Linked DNA regions of Drosophila melanogaster. The protein of the gene in region 1 interacts with the protein of each later gene in a pairwise test. Each region holds a gene or a part of one and is shown on either strand. Other genes may lie near its edges.

Evidence for each region.
Region 2: the proteins of CG11247 (region 1) and Ir85a interact in a two-hybrid assay, tested with the Drosophila melanogaster proteins (one large-scale study listed by BioGRID).
Region 3: the proteins of CG11247 (region 1) and qsm interact in a two-hybrid assay, tested with the Drosophila melanogaster proteins (one large-scale study listed by BioGRID).
Region 4: the proteins of CG11247 (region 1) and CG13405 interact in a two-hybrid assay, tested with the Drosophila melanogaster proteins (one large-scale study listed by BioGRID).

Annotation. Positions count from the first base shown.
Region 1 is NT_037436.4:21,723,793-21,730,366, forward strand, and holds CG11247 (uncharacterized protein), read right to left. Parts: upstream 5,015-6,574; 5' UTR 4,659-5,014; exon of another isoform or gene 4,601-4,658; 5' UTR 4,495-4,600; intron 3,146-4,494; 5' UTR 2,947-3,145; coding exon 2,371-2,946; intron 2,159-2,370; coding exon 1,763-2,158; intron 1,704-1,762; coding exon 1,107-1,703; 3' UTR 534-1,106; downstream 1-533. Other genes in the region: Polr2H (RNA polymerase II, I and III subunit H), read left to right, coding at 5,401-5,850; CG14570 (uncharacterized protein), read right to left, coding at 5,950-6,574.
Region 2 is NT_033777.3:8,793,136-8,797,520, forward strand, and holds Ir85a (ionotropic receptor 85a), read left to right. Parts: upstream 1-1,548; coding exon 1,549-1,781; intron 1,782-1,872; coding exon 1,873-3,033; intron 3,034-3,086; coding exon 3,087-3,510; 3' UTR 3,511-3,569; coding exon of another isoform or gene 3,570-3,801; 3' UTR 3,802-3,831; downstream 3,832-4,385. Other genes in the region: Pif1A (PFTAIRE-interacting factor 1A), read right to left, coding at 1-232, 843-956, 3,570-3,801, 4,189-4,385.
Region 3 is NT_033778.4:20,580,546-20,585,226, reverse strand, and holds the start of qsm (quasimodo), read left to right. Parts: upstream 1-1,635; 5' UTR 1,636-1,877; intron 1,878-3,094; exon of another isoform or gene 3,095-3,197; intron 3,198-3,575; 5' UTR 3,576-3,593; coding exon 3,594-3,666; intron 3,667-4,681.
Region 4 is NT_037436.4:73,406-77,085, forward strand, and holds CG13405 (uncharacterized protein), read right to left. Parts: upstream 1,928-3,680; 5' UTR 1,806-1,927; coding exon 1,233-1,805; 3' UTR 1,049-1,232; intron 987-1,048; 3' UTR 540-986; downstream 1-539.

The DNA.
Region 1 (6,574 bases):
GACTCGTTGCTCTTTTGGCCGCATTCAAATATGGAATGCAGCTTCCAGCCGGACTTGAAATTCCATAGATGAGCCTCAAAGGTCAAAGGCACGCAAGCCAGGAGATGCAGAAAATTGATTGATTCAAGCCGTGTCGCTTCCTAAGATGCTAGTCGAGATCCTCAACTTCCAGACACCAGCTACAGCAAGATCGAAAGTTGACTGAAATAATATGTAAGGCCTTTGCCATTTGTTGTAGACGGCCAAAATCCTTTTGGAATAAACATAGAAACTTTCAATAATAATAATAAAAACCAAAATTATTAAATTAATATTAATATATTCAAAAGTGTGGGAGCAGCTTTGTGGGATAGTGGACGTGCTCACTCTTAGTTAAGGGAATGTGTTCTTTTTATCATTCGTTCTCATAAACTTTCTCTAACTCTTACGTAAGCTCGCAGACTTACGAAATCTTAAAAATAAGCGAAAATAATACTTGCTGCAAATTGTTTCATGATTAAAAAGTCCGAAAAACTAATATCCAGTGTTGGGTTGTAGTCACAAATAATATTTATTATTCATTTCATTTTTTCACTTGCGTATTTTGATTTGCATTTCAGTTGTACACTTCAGATTTTGCACTTTTGTTGGAAAAGACAAATGGCAACTAAATGCATTAAGCTTATTAATTTTACAAGCATGGCCACAATGAGTTGTATTGTACTTGAGCTGTTATAGATTCACTCCGGGACAATCTGTTGCTCTGGCAAGACTAAGCATACAAAAATATTTCAGGTTTCAATCGTGTTATGCCTATTATTTTATAAATTATTGCATCGAAATTCGTTCTTAAACTAATTTCCTTTAATAGGGAAATTATTATGACAACACTAACTCATACATTCTTCAAATTATACTTTTTGGTAGCAGCAAAATTGGGATTAAGGGTAGTAATTCATTAAAATGACCTGTACTACAAAGTATATATCTTTGGGATAAATTATTTGGTTGGGTTTCGTTCTGCAACTTTGGGTTACTAAACACTAAACTAAATGGCAAGAACTAGTTCTACAAATCCTTCTTCTATGGCACACTCGCATTTGGCGTTGGCTATCAACTCCTGGATTCTACTTCTGTTTCATATACATGGTAGCAATTTTCTCAAGAATCGTGTCTATAGACAACAATTCGTCGCTGAATTTCTGCATAGTGGGGGCTGGCACAATCCACTTAAGAAATTCCTCCACATTTAGCCGGAGTCTGGCCAATGGGGTCATCGTGGCGTCGTCATGGGATTGTCGCTGAGCCAGCTTCAAGGATGCAATGATAACGTTATCGATTAGACGCTTCTCGTAGCCCAACTGGCGCAGCTTTTGAGCGGAGCTAATTTTCTTCAGTACCACTGCCATGTTAAATCTTAAGACAGAGAGAATTTGCGCATCTTCAGACTGATTGCCACTGGGTTTGTCCCCGTCAACTGGACACTTGGCGCAGTGCTCAACATGCGACTGCAGCTCCACCTTGATCTTAAAGAAATCGTGGCAGCCTTCGCACATGTAGGGCTTTTGCTGTTTGTGTATCTTCTTCATGTGGTTCTTTAGGTGCGCCAGCTGAGAAAAGGCTACTTCGTCTTCGCACAGCTGGCAGCGAAAGGGTTTTTCCCCCGTATGCTTTCGGATGTGCAGTTTTAGTACGCTTGAATGGGCAAAGGTCTGGTGGCAGATCTGATGGAAGTAGAAACATAATTTACGGCTGCATGCAAGCTAACACCCTTTCAACTTACCCTACACTGATAGGGGCGCTCTCCCGTGTGCATTCGCATATGGACATTGTACTGGCTTTTCTGGGTGAAATATGTGTTGCACACCTCGCAGACGTGGGTCTTAACAGCGGTGTGCCTCTGCATGTGAGTGGCCAAATCCTCGTCCGGCTCGATCATCTTATGGCATATCTCGCACTCAAATTGCGTCAGCTTGTGGTGCTCCTGGTTTATGTGCGCTCGCAGGGCCAGCTCGTTGGCGAATTGGTTCTCACAGATGCTGCACCGGTGCTCCATGCCCTGCTCGTGTCGCTCCATGTGCACCCGTAAATTGGCGTTGGTTGAGAAGCTGGCCGAGCACTTAGTGCAGTTGAACTGCTGGATACTCGTCTTGTGGTGAGAAACCATGTGCTGTTGCAGCTGCAATATAAATGATAATATATATTAGGAACACCAATGGTTAAGACCTATAAAAACAAAAGCCTAATAGAAAGTTCATTATTAAATACACTTATTTATATTTAATTATTATAATAAATATTATTATTTAAGTTTATAATAAATCAAATTATGAGAAAAATATAAAATTAATTGTTAAATCTCAGTTAAAAATGGAATGTCGTATTACTCACTTGACCTCCTCGGGCGAATTTTTTGTCGCAGAGGTCGCAAGGATAGGGCTTCTCGCCAGAGTGGAGGCGCATGTGGAGCCGCAGGCGCTCCTTGAGGGCGAATGATTTTGGGCACTGGGAACAAACGAACTGTTTCCGATGCTCGTGGGCGGTGGTGATATGATTTTTCAGGTTGACCGCCTGGCGGTAGCTCTTGCCACAATCCTTGCACTTGTGCGGTCGTTCGTCCGAGTGGATAAGCATGTGGCGCTGCAGATCCGTCTTGCCACCGAACTCTTTGGAGCATTGACTGCAGACATGGTGCTTGCGTTTCACCGGTTCGCCCTTTCGGGCAGACTTCTTAAGCTGCGGTTGCACGTAATCATCATCCTTTGAGTCCTGCTCTCCGCCGTCGTCCTCCTCCTCGTCCACACAAGCATCGCGCAGACTTGCCAAGCTGCTCTTCCTCCTTTTGATCGCAAGCGTAGGGCCTGGTGAGGATTCCCTCGCCGCCGGCGGCGAAGACAGCGATATGCCGCTGTCTGTGAGCAGAGAGACGGCATCCTCCTTGGACACACTACGACGGCTGCGTACCATTTGTTTGGTTTTTATTATTTGGATTCGTAACTAAATTTCTGGGGACCGCTTCCTGGGAAACACCGGCACCTGCTGCGTTTGTCTTTACTTCTAGGGTTAATGTTCTACGTATGTAATTTAGGGTATTCGTATTTTTTGGTTCGATTGCTACTTCTAGGATAGTTCCCATTCACCTTTGGTTTGGATTAGTTCAGATGGGCTGCAAAAAAAGTTAAGAGCTGTTTTAATTCTCCACTCGCCGAGCGCCACGTTCCGAAGCAGACGGAGAATCAAAAACACAGACAGAAATAGTAACCGCAAGTGAAGCCGAAACAGAAACAAGAAGAGAAACAGCAACGGAACAGAAACTCCAGCTGTGTCAACAGTGATAAGACCTATGCACAGGAAAAATATTACCAAAATTGGTGGATTTGCATATTTAGGGGCTTCGAAAAGCATGGCACTTTTTACGTTAATGCAATAGTTCTTACTATTTTTGCAGTGTTGTCGAAATCACTTGAGATTTTTAGACGTTGTTTATCATAATTAATTAATTAATTGCAATTCATTGGCTATCCAATTAGAAAATATATTCGTTTCTTTACAAATCTAGTTAACAACGGAAGGTTGTGGACTGTTTTTCACGGTGTACAGAGCTAGGAGCCCAAGTCTTGAAGTGGGTCGCATTATCAATTGACATTTCCAGCGAACGTAAGCTTCCAAAAAAAATTCTTAGTTTGTTGTCTTAATCTTTTGTTTGGGCGGGAGCGAGATGGAGAAACCGCCTGATAAGATCCCGAGGAAGGCAACAACTGATAAGCAATCCACCGCTTTCACTAAAATCACGGTAGAGCTATAAAAAGATATCGAGATAAAGCTGTGCAACCTGAGCGTTTTCGATCCCGCGGCGTCTGTTCTCCGAGGCGGCGGAGTTTCCAATGAAAAGCGAGAACACTGAAAATGCAACTGCAAGAGAGCGATTACGATGACCCTGGGCTGGGACGAACATCTGGCAAGCAGATTGGGAACCCTCCGATTCCGATTCCAGTGCCAAGCAACCCCCTCCCCCTGCGGAGGGTTAATGGTTCATTAGAGCCGCACCCGCAGAAGCTGAAAACTAACTCACTTTAGCAGCACAACGGCCCTCGACCAAACTGTTGAAAAAGCGAATTTAAGCTAGAATCCGCAGCTGGGAATCGAAATTGAAAGAGAACAGGGCAAAAAGCACGAACGACAGCGAAAATCACACACAAAAAGCGAAAATAAAGAAGTGAATACATAACAGCAGTTTTGTAATGCTAAATAGGCGGGGTTATGGGGGTGGGTAAGGGTTAAGGCGGCGGCGGTCGCTGGATGAGGGTAGGGGCCGTTGAAGTCTTTCGTATTCGGGGCACAAAACTCGACGACTGTGTAGTTTTCGGGGTCTTGCAACCGATTGTTAGTAATTAATGAACCAGCACCACAGCACTCATATACGTAAAGCAATCCATTATACACATATGCTACACATTTGGCCCAGGGGCTCCACATTCAACACCAACACCAAAGCCCCACCGGGCGTGGACTTACCTTCGCAAAAAGCAGGAGTCGCTAGGCTAAGGGCCTTCGATCCACAGGAAACTTAGCATCACCCCGAATGGGACACACCTGGACTTCCTATGCATTCCGCGTCCGACTATGAGTTCGCTTCTTATTTGTTTTTAATTTCGACACCACGAGCTGTGTGTACATACTTTTTGCAATCCGCTAGGTGGCAGTCCGACTGGCTCCTCAAGGTGTATCCATCGTGCTGCCTGCGGCTTAACCTTTGTGGGACTTTGCGGGTTTGCCGATTCTAAGCCAATACTGCGTTTTGTCCAGCAAAATAAATAACAGTTTTCGGTGGTTTTTCGATGTTGTTCTTAATGTTAGTGATGTGTATTCACCGATAGACGGTCACACTGGGACTCTCTGTCTGCGCGGCCACAGATGGGAGCGTGATGCACAGTCACTAGTTAGAGAAAATCCAATAACGTGTAGGTTGCGGCGCAATAAGTTATAAATAAGTTAAAAATCACATTGCGCAGTATCACTGCAATATTTATTGAAATTTCAGTAAGAACAAAGTGAGGCACACTTTGTTGAACGTGACTTCTTTTACACACTGAAATCACAGCCTGCTGAACGTGACCACTTTGCTCACTGAAATCGCAGACGTGTGGCAACACTCAAGCCGCCAGAAAGATCTGGCATCTCTCATACTTAACACGCGCATGCAAAATATTTAAGAAATAAATATTAGTCGCTAACAGTTTAAATATAATAAAATTCTGCTGATATAAACCCAGTTCATAAAAGAACACGCATTTACCTCCGCATATAAGATCAAATACGTATAAAATCTAATTAGCCGACTCAAGGTAAGGCGTGCGTTTTTGGAGCTCCACTAAACTGACTTCAAAGCAATAACTCATCAAATACTACATTTCAGTTAAAATGGCTGGAGTACTCTTTGAGGACATCTTCAACGTAAAGGACATGGATCCGGAGGGCAAAAAGTTCGACCGTGTATCCCGCCTGCACTGCGAGTCCGAGTCGTTTAAGATGGACCTCATCCTGGACATCAACTCGTGGCTATACCCCATGGAGCTGGGCGACAAGTTCCGCCTGGTTTTGGCCACCACCCTGCGCGAGGATGGTTGCCCGGACAGCGGGGAGTACAATCCAATGGAGCACGAGGGAACGCGGGCGGACAGCTTTGAGTACGTGATGTACGGCAAGATCTACAGGATCGAGGGCGACGAAGCACACAATGAGGCCTCCCGGCTCTCCGCCTACGTGTCATTCGGCGGCTTGCTGATGCGACTTCAGGGTGACGCCAACAATCTTCATGGCTTCGAGGTGGACCAGCACATGTACCTGCTGATGAAGCGGCTGGCCTTCTGAATTTTCTACCTAATTATTTTCGATCGCAAATTAGACATAGACAACAAACTTTATTTACAGTGTATTCATGACATTGCTTGGAGTGCTGAAAGAAGTAGTCTATTGCCTGGATGGGCGTCTGAAAGGCGCATTGACTATCAGGCGAGATGGCCGTGGGCGAAAAGGAATGTGGCGATCCACGAAGGGCAAAGCCTGCGGAGTCGATGGGAACACTGGAGTAGGCCTAATAGCATTCACAATCTTGACCGCATCTGGCCGACGACGAACCGTAAGCTTAGCCGGCCGTCGCTGCGGAGTCCGCAGAACCGGACGCTGCGGGCGGAAGGCAGAAAGTCGGTTCAGAAGCGGCAGAACATACTGAGCCTGGGGTGGTAGCGGCAGACTTGCCAAATTAATTATAGCTGCGCTTTGTGGCAATGTGTTGGAGCTGTCATCATTGGCTGGCTGGTCTGGAGGTCCGTAGGTCTGATCGGGAGGTCCATAAATTTGGTCCGGTGGGCCGTAGACCTCAGCTGGCGCTTCCACCAAAGACGGTGGTCCGTATGTTTCAGGTGGAGGGCCATATGTATCCTCCGGTTGAGGAAATTCAACCGCCTCCTCCGTTGGCAGGTCGAATGGCGGATCGGGGACCAGGCCTGCTGGTGGATATGGGGCTTGTTCCTGTCTTTGCAGAAACCTTCCCGCCGCGGGTCCTGGGAACCTCAGATGACTGCCTTCAATTCCA
Region 2 (4,385 bases), on another chromosome or scaffold:
TTTGCTCGGATATATCTGTATCTGTATCTGGTTCGGTTTTAGCTTTTGTTTCTCCCGCCGCCTTCGTAGTGGGTTTCTTTGGCTTTTGGCTCGTTTCGTTGGGGTTCGTTTTGGGTTTCGTCGTCGCTGGCACTTTGGCTTCATTCTGCTTCAGCTTCTTGGGACTCTGCAGTGCCAGCAAGTCCTTCCTCAGTTGTCCTATATTACGTTCTTTGGTCTTTATTTCCTCTAACTGGAATAATAAGTAGCAGAGATTGGTTAGATTCATACTAAACATATGGAGTTTAGAGATATATGAGCAATACGTGTTCATCCACCTGTAAAACTGTTCAATAATCAACCAGAATTGGTCTAATATTTATACAAGCCCATGTTGGTGGCTCAATTCAGCGTTATTAAATGTTTATACCATTAATGGGAATACACAACTTGTTGTGTATGTTTTTAATGAGAACAAATGGTAGGTAACTATATCCCATTAGTTTGGTGTAAGTGCAAAAAGAAATGTTTATATGTATATGGTCTTACTGATTGAAACTAAACTCTAGTAATAACATCACGAAAAATGAAAATGTTTATACGAATATATGACCAGTAAATCAAAATGATATAAGGCTTATAATATGGGTACTTTATAGCAGCTAGTTGAATATGACCTGTTTTCTTGCTGTGCAAATTCAAAATGCATGTATGAATTTCAATGGTGGTATGAAAAGTTGCCCGTCCGCTTCTGAACCGCCGGGTTTCGTTCCGTAACGCTTCCCCCCCCCCCCCCCCATTCACAACCACTTCTTTTGAGCCAACTTTTGGTGACCCGTTAGCAGCCGCTACGCACAACTTACCAAACGTGTTATTTCAATTTTGGCTGATTTCTGTATGTGAGTCAATCGGTTTTCGTACGCGTTCTTCAATTGCCGCATATCGGCAGCCTTGAGTCTATCAGCCTGCCCCATAATCTGCAAGAAATGGTCGAATCATACATGTTTGCGTGTTGCCAACTTTTTGGATACGGGGCTCCAAGCAGCGGGAGATACCAGAAGCAAGTTAATCCATGCTGTTAGTTTGCACTTTGCGATTAGGTCGCGTACGTCCATTAACCAAACGAGACACAAAAACACACAAAAAATGCTACATAAAGAACGGGAAAGGAAAGTTCTTGCCACAGTCGAAGAATCGCATACCCTTCATAAAAAAAAATTAAAAAAAACGAAAATTTTACAAATAGCAAACACCTAAAGACTTTCACTTTATTGAGTTATATGCCTACTTAAAATTCATCGCACAATCTTGGGAACTATAGAGGGTTACTAAAACCTGAAATTAAAACAGTATGGAAAAGAATATTTCTGTGTTAATTAGGTAATGCAATCTGTAGGCAGTAACTCGCAATGTTCCTTTTACAGGGTATAAAAGTGCAGAAGATATAGCATAATATTTGCTTAACGCCCTTTGCCGATATGGCAAGCATTAGGGAAATTGCTATATCGAAATTGGCTCTGGGTATAAAAACAATGGTGTCATCCCTCTGCTCAAACAGTTGGCATTGCAATGTCCATCCAGTGGCTAAAACACATTCTGCTCCTGGCAATCCTGGTCAATTTGGCCGGGACACGGGAGAATCACATTCCGTTAGATTTGAAGAAAAGTTCGATCGTGATGGTCAAGATGAGTCAGATCCTCTGCAAGGCTCGGATTAAGGTCCTGTTCGTCTACTTCGAGAATCAAACCTCCCACGAGCATACGGGTCAAATACTCAAAGAGGTGACCAAGTGCGACATATCGTACATATCTCTCAGGCAAGTTGATCATTTAATCCCATAACAATACTGATAACATATAATAACCACAAATATTCGAATATTTTACTTTCAGGAATCAAAATACACCACTGGAGGCGGTCAAGGATGATGGCATACTAATGTACATGGTGATGATCACCACAAACATATCACAACCATTGGAGCTTTCACTTATCCGGAAGAAATCGGCTGCCAAGCATCGATCGCATGTTTTTCTCTTGGTCAGAGATGCGGATACCGTTTCCGATGCTTGGATGCGGGCCAGTTTCCGGCAATTCTGGAAGATATGGCTACTGAACATCGTGATCCTCTACTGGCGAGATGGACGACTGAATGCCTATCGGTACAACCCGTTTATGGACAACTATTTGATACCAGTGGACAATAAACCAAACGAGGTTCCAACTTTAGAGCAGCTTTTCCCAAAGACCATACCCAATATGCAGAGGAAGCCGCTGAGAATGTGCATCTACAAGGACGATGTGAGGGCAATCTTCTGGAGACAGGGAACTATCTTGGGGACCGATGGCCTGCTGGCGGCCTATGTGGCTGAGCGACTGAACGCGACCATGATGATAACGCGTCCGCACTCGTATAACAACCACAATCTCAGCTCGGACATATGTTTCCTTGAGGTGGCCAAGGAGTACGTGGATGTGGCCATGAACATTCGTTTCTTGGTTCCGGATACCTTCAGGAAACAGGCGGAAAGCACGGTATCCCACACGCGTGATGATCTTTGCGTGATTGTGCCGAAAGCCAAGACTGCTCCCACTTTCTGGAACATATTTCGCTCATTTGGCTCATTAGTTTGGGCCCTAATTCTGGTTTCTGTTCTGGTGGCGAATGTCTTCTGCTACATCCTGAAATCTGAAGTGGGTAGGGTTCCCATGCAACTTTTCGCCGGAGCCCTAACTATGCCCATGACCCAGATTCCGCCAAACCACTCGATCCGATTGTTTCTGATCTTCTGGCTTTACTTTGGACTACTTATATGCTCGGCATTCAAGGGAAATCTGACCAGCATGATGGTGTTCCAGCCTTATCTACCCGATATAAACCAATTGGGTGCGTTGGCTAGGTCCCACTACCACATCATCATTCGTCCAAGGCACGTAAAACATATCCAACACTTCCTAACCCTGGGACACAAGCACGAGTCCAGAATTCGGGAACAAATGCTGGAAGTTTCCGACACCCAGATGTACGAAATGATGAGGAACAATGACATAAGGTATGCGTGTACGTGGATTAATTGCTGTAATTCCATAAAATCTACTTTCGCAGATTTGCCTATTTGGAGAAGTATCACATCGCCCGTTTCCAGGTGAACAGCCGTGTGCACATGCACCTGGGTCGTCCGCTTTTCCACCTGATGAACAGCTGCCTGGTGCCGTTTCACGCCGTTTATATCGTCCCCTACGGTTCACCCTACTTGGGTTTCCTGGACTCACTGATCCGGAGTTCGCATGAGTTTGGATTCGAGCGATACTGGGATCGCATCATGAACTCCGCCTTTATTAAGTCTGGAGTAAAGGTGGTAAACCGTCGACGCGGGAGTGGCAATGATGAACCGGTGGTCCTCAAACTGCAGCATTTCCACGCCGTATTCGCTCTGTGGCTGGTGGGGATCGGGATGGCATGCATTGTGCTGGCCTGGGAGCACTTGACCCACAACTACAATTTGGCGGTAACAAAGCGGCGGGACTAACTATCGCATGCAGCATGCAATGTGAGGCGGATGATTGTGTTGATGTGGCGTCCACTTACCTGGGTCTTCTCCTCCTTGTTTCGATTCGCTTCCTTCAGCACGGCAATCTCGTTAGTCAGTCTTTGGATTTCATAGTTGATGAGGCCATCGGCGGTCACATGTGCACCACTCGATTCTGGGCCCGATTCGATGGCCTTCTTTATACCGTTGCTCTTCTTGGCCATTTCCAGCGTATGCTGCAACTTCTTCACTTCACTCTTCCACCGACGACTATCTGCGTCATTCTGAGCCCTGGGTTGAAATAAAAAAGCGATAGATTGCATTTTTTAATGTCTCTTTAAATTCAAAAGATCAGATCGAAATGGGTTTTAATATCAAACGTGTGACTATTCTATCATATTTTATATCTAGATGAAACCAGAAATATTTAAATGTAATCTTGAACAAACTGATTGCATGTATATTTATTTCCGAGTTTACTGATTGCCAATCGTCACTTTCATGAAAGGTCAAATATGTTTTCAGTGCACGAATACTTTTAAAACGAATGTATTTGTATTTGATAACTCAATTTAAAAAGTTTCACAACATTATGCAATATAAAATGGTGCGATTAAGGTAAAATGAAATGGGCTTATCACGTTCCTTATTGGTATATATGTATATTAATGGACTTACCTTAAGGCTCTCACTGCACCGCGTTCTGTGATCAGACTGGACTTCAGTTCATTTACCTCCAGACGCAGTTGCTCCGTGAGGGCATTTAGCTTCTGGATGGTGTCCATGTTCTCCTGCAGTTTTCTCTTGATCCTTTGTGGAGGTGCTGCTATCACATTTGTGGTAGTCACGCCACCAATTATTACGGGTCGTTCTCG
Region 3 (4,681 bases), on another chromosome or scaffold:
TAGTTTGGAAAGTTTTGGTTTTGCATTAGAAATCGCCACTCAACTTGGTTTTTTCTAAAATTATTTAGGTCCGTTTTGCATATTTTAGGTGTTTTACAAAATCTGTGTAACATACTTAATATATTTTTAGAAAACTAACACCTAAGTGTACGGAATCAAAAAAAAAAAGACAAATATGTGATATTTAAGCAAATTTGCCATAATCTCAAAATAGGAAAAAGTCTGTTATGCTTATATTTGAGTGTTTTAAAAAATTAGAAAACCCAATTTTAATTATTTTTAGAAAAGACAAAATGTGATATTTATGCTTGTTTTTGTTTGTTTTACAAAATTGGCATAACCGTCTTTTACCTATTTTTAGAAAACTAACACCGAAGTGTACAAATTCAAAATGTGATATTTTTTTCACATTTGCCATAATCTCCTTAAAATAGTAAAGGCTGTTATGCTTATTTTTGTGTTTTTTACAAAACTGGCATTCCCGTCTTACTTATTTTCAGAAAACTTACACCAAAGTGCACAGATTGAAAAAAAAAACACAAAAATGTGATATTTCATCACTCATCAACTCAAAATAGTAAATCGAAGGGCAAAAAAATATGGTATTCTGTTTGCTATTATAAAAGTTCACGAGCTAAGCTAACGATTCATTAAAATATGTACATACATATTTAAGTGTTAAAAAAAAATGTGTATCTCGCGAATTCCTTCGATTTCCTCGCGTTGCCGCCATTTTGAATATTCTCTCTCCCGAAAGTTGTAGAGTAGAGCAAAAACTTTGGATGTTTTGAGAGTTCGAAGTTCATACTGTCATCCCGCTCTAAACCTCTGCATTCCATTGTGTCCCGTTTTGTGATTTTTCCTTTTCGGGATCTTCTTTGCGTTCTTTGCCCCCGGCATTCAAATTCCGAGAGTCGTCGCGAGTGGTCGTTTGAAACGTATTACCCGACATCGTTCTAGCCAACAATTTTCTGCTGCGGATGGGGGCAGTACTGTTTTTTTAACATTGAGTATTGCACTTTTCACAGCCCGAAAATGTTAGCAACTGCCTTATACTAACAATTAGCATTTTTAAATTATTAGAAATGTGAATTAAGTTTGAAGCGATTTGGTTCGTCACAAGGGCAATTCTGCATTTTTTAACTAGTATTGCACTTGAGACGGCCTGATTACTTTAAAACGAATCATTTTATGAGCAAAGTAATTAGTTTTGTTGTGTTTTTAAACTCCTTGCAATAGGCGGCAAGACGGTGAAAAATCGAAATTTCTAGATCATTTTTCGGACGGTATATGGGTTAATATTTCATTTGTCGAATATATTGCACATTCACCGGCCTGAAAATATCAAGAATTAACATCGAAAAGTGAAAAAAAAGTGTTTGCGAAAACATAAACATTTGCAGGGCGGGTCGTGTGTCAGTGTATTTATATCTTAGCTATATTGCACACTTCCCGGCCTTTAAATGTCCAATGTTTCAACATTTAAATCTGTGAAATCGTAAAATTATAAAAATCCAGTTGCGCTTTTCTCGGAAATCCGCAATCCGTTAGGTGTGAGCGAGATGACAGCTGTTGCGGTTCTTCCCCATTCCTCTTTCGCTTCGTCACAGACTTGCCAGATCGGCAAATTGTGTGCAAAGAGGAACGGGGAACTTGGTTAATTTCTTTTGCAAGTGGCAAGTGTTTAATTATTACAATTTGTGCTTAACTTAATATTGGCCGATGCTTGAGCTAAATATTCCCGTACAACTGGTGCAACAAAGTAATAATAAGGCATTTTGAGTTGAATTTAGCAAATTAAATTAGTGCGCTCGGCTGGTTGCCTTTATTTTGCACGTCATTTACCGTTTTTCAAGAGGGCCAGTAGTGTATGGCCAGTAAGTATGCACAAATAAATGTTTCTAATCCGTTTAATGATGGGATGGCCATTGGTTTGGAAAACTAACAAGTAGGAGAATCATGAATAATGCCCAAGCACGCGCGAAATCAAGAGGTGTGAAATTGGGTTCACGGGCTGCGCCTTGGGCTCTGGAAAATGCAGTAGATGACCAGCTGAAGAACGGTTTTAGTTTTGGCGGAAGTGTAAGTGTACCGTTAGTACATATAGCGAAATATATAGGGAAAATATCCATAACAGCTGCTGCATTTAGCTCATTTTAAACTATTACTTCCCTGTTCTCATCTGTGGCCGTTGAGAACGAACCGGCAGTTCGTGCTGACAGCGAGCGCAATTACATAAATGTTTGTTTTGACAACAATAGCGAGTGCAACAAAAACAACAACAGCAAACGCAACAAAAAAGCCGGAGACGAGATTGCATAATTGCTTGTAAGATTTTGCTCCCACAATTTCTCAGTTTTTGTCATGGGACAAAAAAAAAAATTATACAAACTTACCGGCTGATTGTTATCTCCGGCAGAGAGCGGAAAAGAGCGGTAGTGAGAGCGATCCTTTTACCGTATTTTACAGCCTCTCGGTTAAGCTAACTTGCTAAAGTCGCTCTCTTTTTCGCCGTGCGACAGAGATGCTCCGTGCGAGAGAGCGACTTACAGTGGGTCATTTTAATTGTGCTCTGCTTATCTAAATGTATTCAAGTATATCCATAAATTGTAATGTAGCACTTTCGTAATTGCCGGCTTTATTTATGCACTGTGAACAGCCAGGGGCTAGATGGCGCCTTAGCATTTTTCCCCACTGTCCACGCTCTAATGCCTAAGAGCGTTGGTTCACTAGCTAGTTTATAGCTAACTTTTGAAAACTCCGTTTGTTAAATAATTATTCAACACTATCTTATTCAAAATTCTTAAAATATTTTCTAAGGATTTTTTTTTTTACCAATGAAAGCATAATATAATAAAAATGCATATAGATTTATGTTGCAATAATTCGGATAAAACGGCACACTTATCTTCTTATATACATACGTACTTATTACATTTCTTTTGGGTAATTAACCAATTGGTTAACATTGAGTGCTTTCACTATAGTTTTGCACTCTCTGCCATATAAGAACGACTTCTGCTCTGAAACTGAGTCAGCATCTCTATACGCCGGCTCTCGATTCCCGAGGTAATGAAGTTGCAGCCGAGCTGAGCCTCAGTTGCCTGGCGACTAGCGAACAGCTTGGACGTGTGGTGTGCTCTTCGGTGTGGTTTCGAGTCTCGAGTTCCGAGTTTTCCCCATATTGCAGCCGTCAAGTAAGACCCGCTCCGAGTTTTGTGTGAATTTGTGTGATATGTGTGTGGTTCGCGGCTCGTTTCGTTTTTTATTTGCCGTTGTCATTGGTTTTTGATTTGTTGAGCGGTCGCCGCAAGCCACTTGACGGGCATTCTCTTCTGGCTTTGTTTCATAATAACTCGCTGTGTGTGTTTGCGATGCGGTACATATATATGTTATGGTACCTACATATATGAATTGTGTCTGTGAAAACGTCAAAAAGGCCAGGCCAAGAATACAAATAACAAATAAAATGTTGGCCCGCTTGTGGAGCATGTGCCGTTGCTTCGGCTTCGGTTCGTTCGAAATGCTTGTAATAATATGCCGTTTGTCTTTCCGTTTCTACCCCGACCAATTAGATCCGGAAATTTTGGAAAATGCTGCTCTCAATGCAAATGTGGCGCTCTCTGTGGCTGGCGGCCCTATTCTGCGGATTAGCCCAGGCCAAAGGTAAGCACTTTTTCTATCTATATACTATACGCAAAAATTTAAATATAAATATCAGAGTTAAGATCGGGGAGTGCAAGGCTAAAAAGCTTGAGAAGCTCCCATAGCGCTGCCATGATGTCATTCGCGTAATGAAACACAATAAGTATTTATTTTTTCTTTTCGATTTTGTTGAAAAACCGACAAAGTGACCTCGTTTTTGGTCGTGAAGTGCACATACACACACAATTTGTGGCCATTTGGAGTGATGGTCGAATAAAACGATCTTCGGTTTTGTCGGGGGCGTGCTGGAGCTTTTTTTTTGGTAAAAAAACGAATGACTGAGGCAACGAACTTGCGGCGACTTAATGAAGTTTGGCAGCGCGGCCCTGTCATGATTCACTCACTCGTTCTTACGCTTCCTGCCATATATTAATGCTAAATTGTATAAGGCATATATCCCTCGAAAGCCCTAACACATTAGTCATTAACTTGCCTGCCCCTGCAAGTTGCCTTTAACAGCCAAGACAACAAACGACTAAACAAACTATCAAGCGAGCGCGGCGAAAAAACAAAAGACCAAACAAGACACCTACACAAACACAAGTGCTGGGAAGGCAACATGACACGCCAAAACAAAAAAAAATAAGATATTACAAAGAAATAAAAAACAAAGCACAGTCCAGCCAACAAGATAATATCGACGAGAAAAATACTTAAACAAAGCGAAAAAAAGGGGCAGTACTCATAATAAAGCCCACACTCAACTGGTCAAGAATCGGCTGGGGTTGTCTTATTAAAAGGCAATCAGAAAGGAGAATTAACTGCAAAAAAATATTACGCGAGAAAAAATGAAGAATTAAAGGCGAAATACAGCCAAAACGGGCGACAATCGACGACTTGTGTAGGCGAACTGGTCCCGGGAATTAAGATGCAGCCTAAAAATACATAAGGCCGATACGAAAACATCTCTCTCGCGGGCTACAAACAAACAAATAAATATATATATATGTACATATATAGAAACGGTGCAGACGAG
Region 4 (3,680 bases), about 22 Mb from region 1:
ACGACTCTCCTAGATCCGACTCCGCGATTCTGAATCTTCCTAGAGTATTTTTCGCACACTTTTTTTGGGCGGCGAAGATATATACCAAGGTTGTTGGAACGAGACGGGGAGACTGGGAACGTGGAATGGAGCACAGGCGCGTAAAAAATACCCAAGCCGCAGACAGTGCAATAACAACAAGCGGGAGAACGCAGTAGGGTTGGAGAATTGGGTGGGGGGGGGGGGGGGGGGCGAAGAGACATGAACAGAAGACCCAAGGCAGAGGTCCAAAAAACAGAAACAGAACCAGATGGAAAATGGAATGGAATCGAAGCACAGTTAAAGGAATTTTGCTGTATACGTTAATGTGTGCTTGTTTTTGTGTCTGGGCACACACTCATAAACAATGATGAACGGGGTGAATGGACGCAAGGTGACGTCGCAACGCGGTCGAAGCCGCTGCTTCTGCACATTGGGTTGGCGAATTTGGCGCCGACAACATTCCCCTTCTAAAATCGCGCTTTTGAATTTTCCACCTTAGGGTTAAACCATAAATTTCTAAGTTGCAAGTCCACATAAATTATCTTTTAATCGAAATAATTTACATTTCACTTTTCTCCAAATCTTTCTAAATGTAAATAAAATTTAAACAGTGACCAGTTGTGTAGAAAACGTCAAACTATCTCGTTTTTGCGAAGTGTTCCCCATCAAGCGCCACAATGGGCGTGGCACTTGGCGGAGAGTGAGAATTGAGGCATAATAAAAGAAGGAGGAGGGAACGAAGAAATCATCGAGAGAAGTTTTGGTTCAATTCAGTTCGTTTCGATTCATTCTCGTCTACTGGCGTCTTTCTGTGCCTCTTCGGTTATTTGTTTATGGCTGTTTTGCTTTGATCCCCTTATTCTGTCTGGGGGCACAATCGTCTTGTTTTTGCGCTTATTGCTATTGCTCTACACTTTCCCGCTATTTGGCTACTCCACGTCTGGACTCTTGACTATTAAACCCAGCTAAAAGAAGTGCTAGGCAGATATTTTAGAAATCGAGGGATTAAATTAAATTTTGCATTTACTTGCATTTTATTGAAATTTTCTTGCATTTTTTATTCACATTCCCTCCATCCTTTCCCATTTTATTGAGTGCAGTGTCGTTGATATGTGTAGATATGTATATATGTAAAATATGAAGATATTCCACAATTATTCAAGTATTTTCATAACTTTTCCCCGTCAATTTTCGGAAACTCCGCTAGGAAACTAGGTACAACATAGTCCATTATCCGATTCAGAATCCGACTCATATTCGTCAGCCGAATCCGTGGGACAAAAGCCTGATAAGGTCGATTGTAGTTCAGTATAAAAGTAGCTCTTCTCGTCCTCTGTGACTTCCATTTCTATATCTCTGTAGCGCCTAGGTGAACCGAAGTTTTGGAGGTGCATGGCTCTATTCACGAGAACCTTTAAATGGATCTCCTCATGCTCCTGACAGACCCTAAGTTGTTTGTATTCCTGCTTGTCTCTATAAGTCTTGCACTTCTTGAACATCAGTCGATTGGACTTTGCCTTGAGCTCTTTTATAATCCTGTTCTGCGCATCAATAGCGTTGACCACCTCCTGATACTCCTTGTACATTGCCTGTTGCTCTTCATCGTCTTCATCGCTCTCATTGAGGAGCTCAAAGGGATCCTTCTCCTCCACCTCGAACTTATCTTCCTCTTCAACGTCCTGTTCGTCTCCTTCGCCCTCTCCCTCAAAATCTTCAGCAGCTTCTTGTCCTTCATTTTGCTCATTATCAACGTCTCCAGAGGCTTCTTGCTCCACATCAGACATTGCTTCGGATGTTAGGGATAAATTGTATTAAGCGATGCAGGGGTATTAGTTTACATAATTATGAAATACTTTAATAAACCAAATTTTGATATATAAATCAAATACAAATTGTTGTAGTAGATTTATCATGTGATCGACAAACGTAAACATAAAACTCCACACCTTAGAGCCAGTAAAATCTCAGTTTACTGCACACAACAACTACTTTTATTATTTCAGTTCGCCATTTTTTTTAGCACTTCAATAACTTCCGTTTCCGTTTCCCTCGTTATTAGATCTTTTCATATACGATTTATTGTTCTTCTGCCATCATGATAGCTGTTGCGCCGTTAACTTCATTCCTTCTACAATCTCATCTCTCTTATTTCACGCTTTTATTGACTCAGTGATTTCTTGTGGCTGGATCCGGTGGATTACGTTTCAAAGCGCACCACTCGACGGCATGCGTTCGCATTAATTATAGAAACTACAGAATGCATTTTAATTTGGCATAATGTTTATCTCGCAGCAGGGTCGTTTCATCGTACTACCGGTAGTTAAGACGTGAATTCTAACAGATTACAACCTGTAAGCCAGGAAAGAAAGGGTATGTATTTGATAACTGGCCCAGCGACACAAGTTGCTGTTTTAATATCAAACTGGTGCATTGAATGGCATAATAGGAATGCACAATATGTACGCAAAATGTACCTGCAAAGTTGTGTGCAATGAAAGACAAAAATGTAGAGAACAATGTTTAGCAAAGAAATTGAATATGTCGATATAGGGATATACAAATTTAAATTTATTTATTTATTTAATTTAATTTATTTGAATTTACTTAATTAAATAATAAGCACCTTGTTTGGTCCAAGCTTAAGCTTTTATCCTTGATGTTTTCTTGATTACGTCCCTGTTTAATTTTTGGCGTAATTACCAATTGCTTGCGAGTCCCTGAAAGCGACAGTTGCATTAGAAGCGAACACCCATAGCCAGAGCCTATGGGTTTTATCGTCCGTATCAAGGTGGCTTTTCGATTAGCTCCCCATTCAGATTACGCATACGTCACTTAAGCTCAAAAAGACTGCGCCGCCCATTTTAAATCAAATAACGGGCAATTTAATTTACAAAGTTGAAAGCAAGCATAGGCCACCCCCTTTAAGTCTCATACATATTTTGATTTTTATTGGGACATTTTATTCTTTTTTTTTTTTTTTTTTTTTTGATTCCTTTCAGACCATGCAAGTTGCATCAAGTTTTTCTTCCGCTCAGACTTTTGTTTTCCTTTGTCTTGCATCTTTTTTGTGCTATTGTTACAACGGAATGGGGACTGTTTTTTTGTTTATGCCTCTACTGAATAAAATGGTTTCATTAAAAAAGTTTTAAACTTTTTCATTTAATTTAACTGCAGCAAACAACAAGCATCCTTCATCATGAAGCCTTTCTCCTTCTGCGCTTTTCTTTGCCCACTCTCTTGCCATTTTTCACTGCAACTATTTTGTAGAGAGCATCTGTTTCAGATATAGAGATCCTTAGCATGCTTTGATTGTTTTTTTTTTTTTTTTGAATGAGTTTCAATTAAACTTTTCTATTTCCATTTATTGTGCATTTTCCTTCCGCAGCGTATGCTGTCGCAGTTTGTTTCAGTGAGTTGCCACCCCGATTATCACCTGAGTGAGAGGTATCTTGTAGTCGAGGCACTCTACTCTCTCTGTCCTGGTAAACTTTTATTTTAAAATGGCCTCTTAAACGTATTGTCAACTCAGTATATTATTTCGTCGCTTGATTTCCTTTTTTGTTATTATTTTAATCATTCCCATTCACAGAGCATAATTTAAAAGGGGACGTAATAAAAAAGTCGTGTGATGGTGTGAGAATAGGGTTTGTTGAGACCGC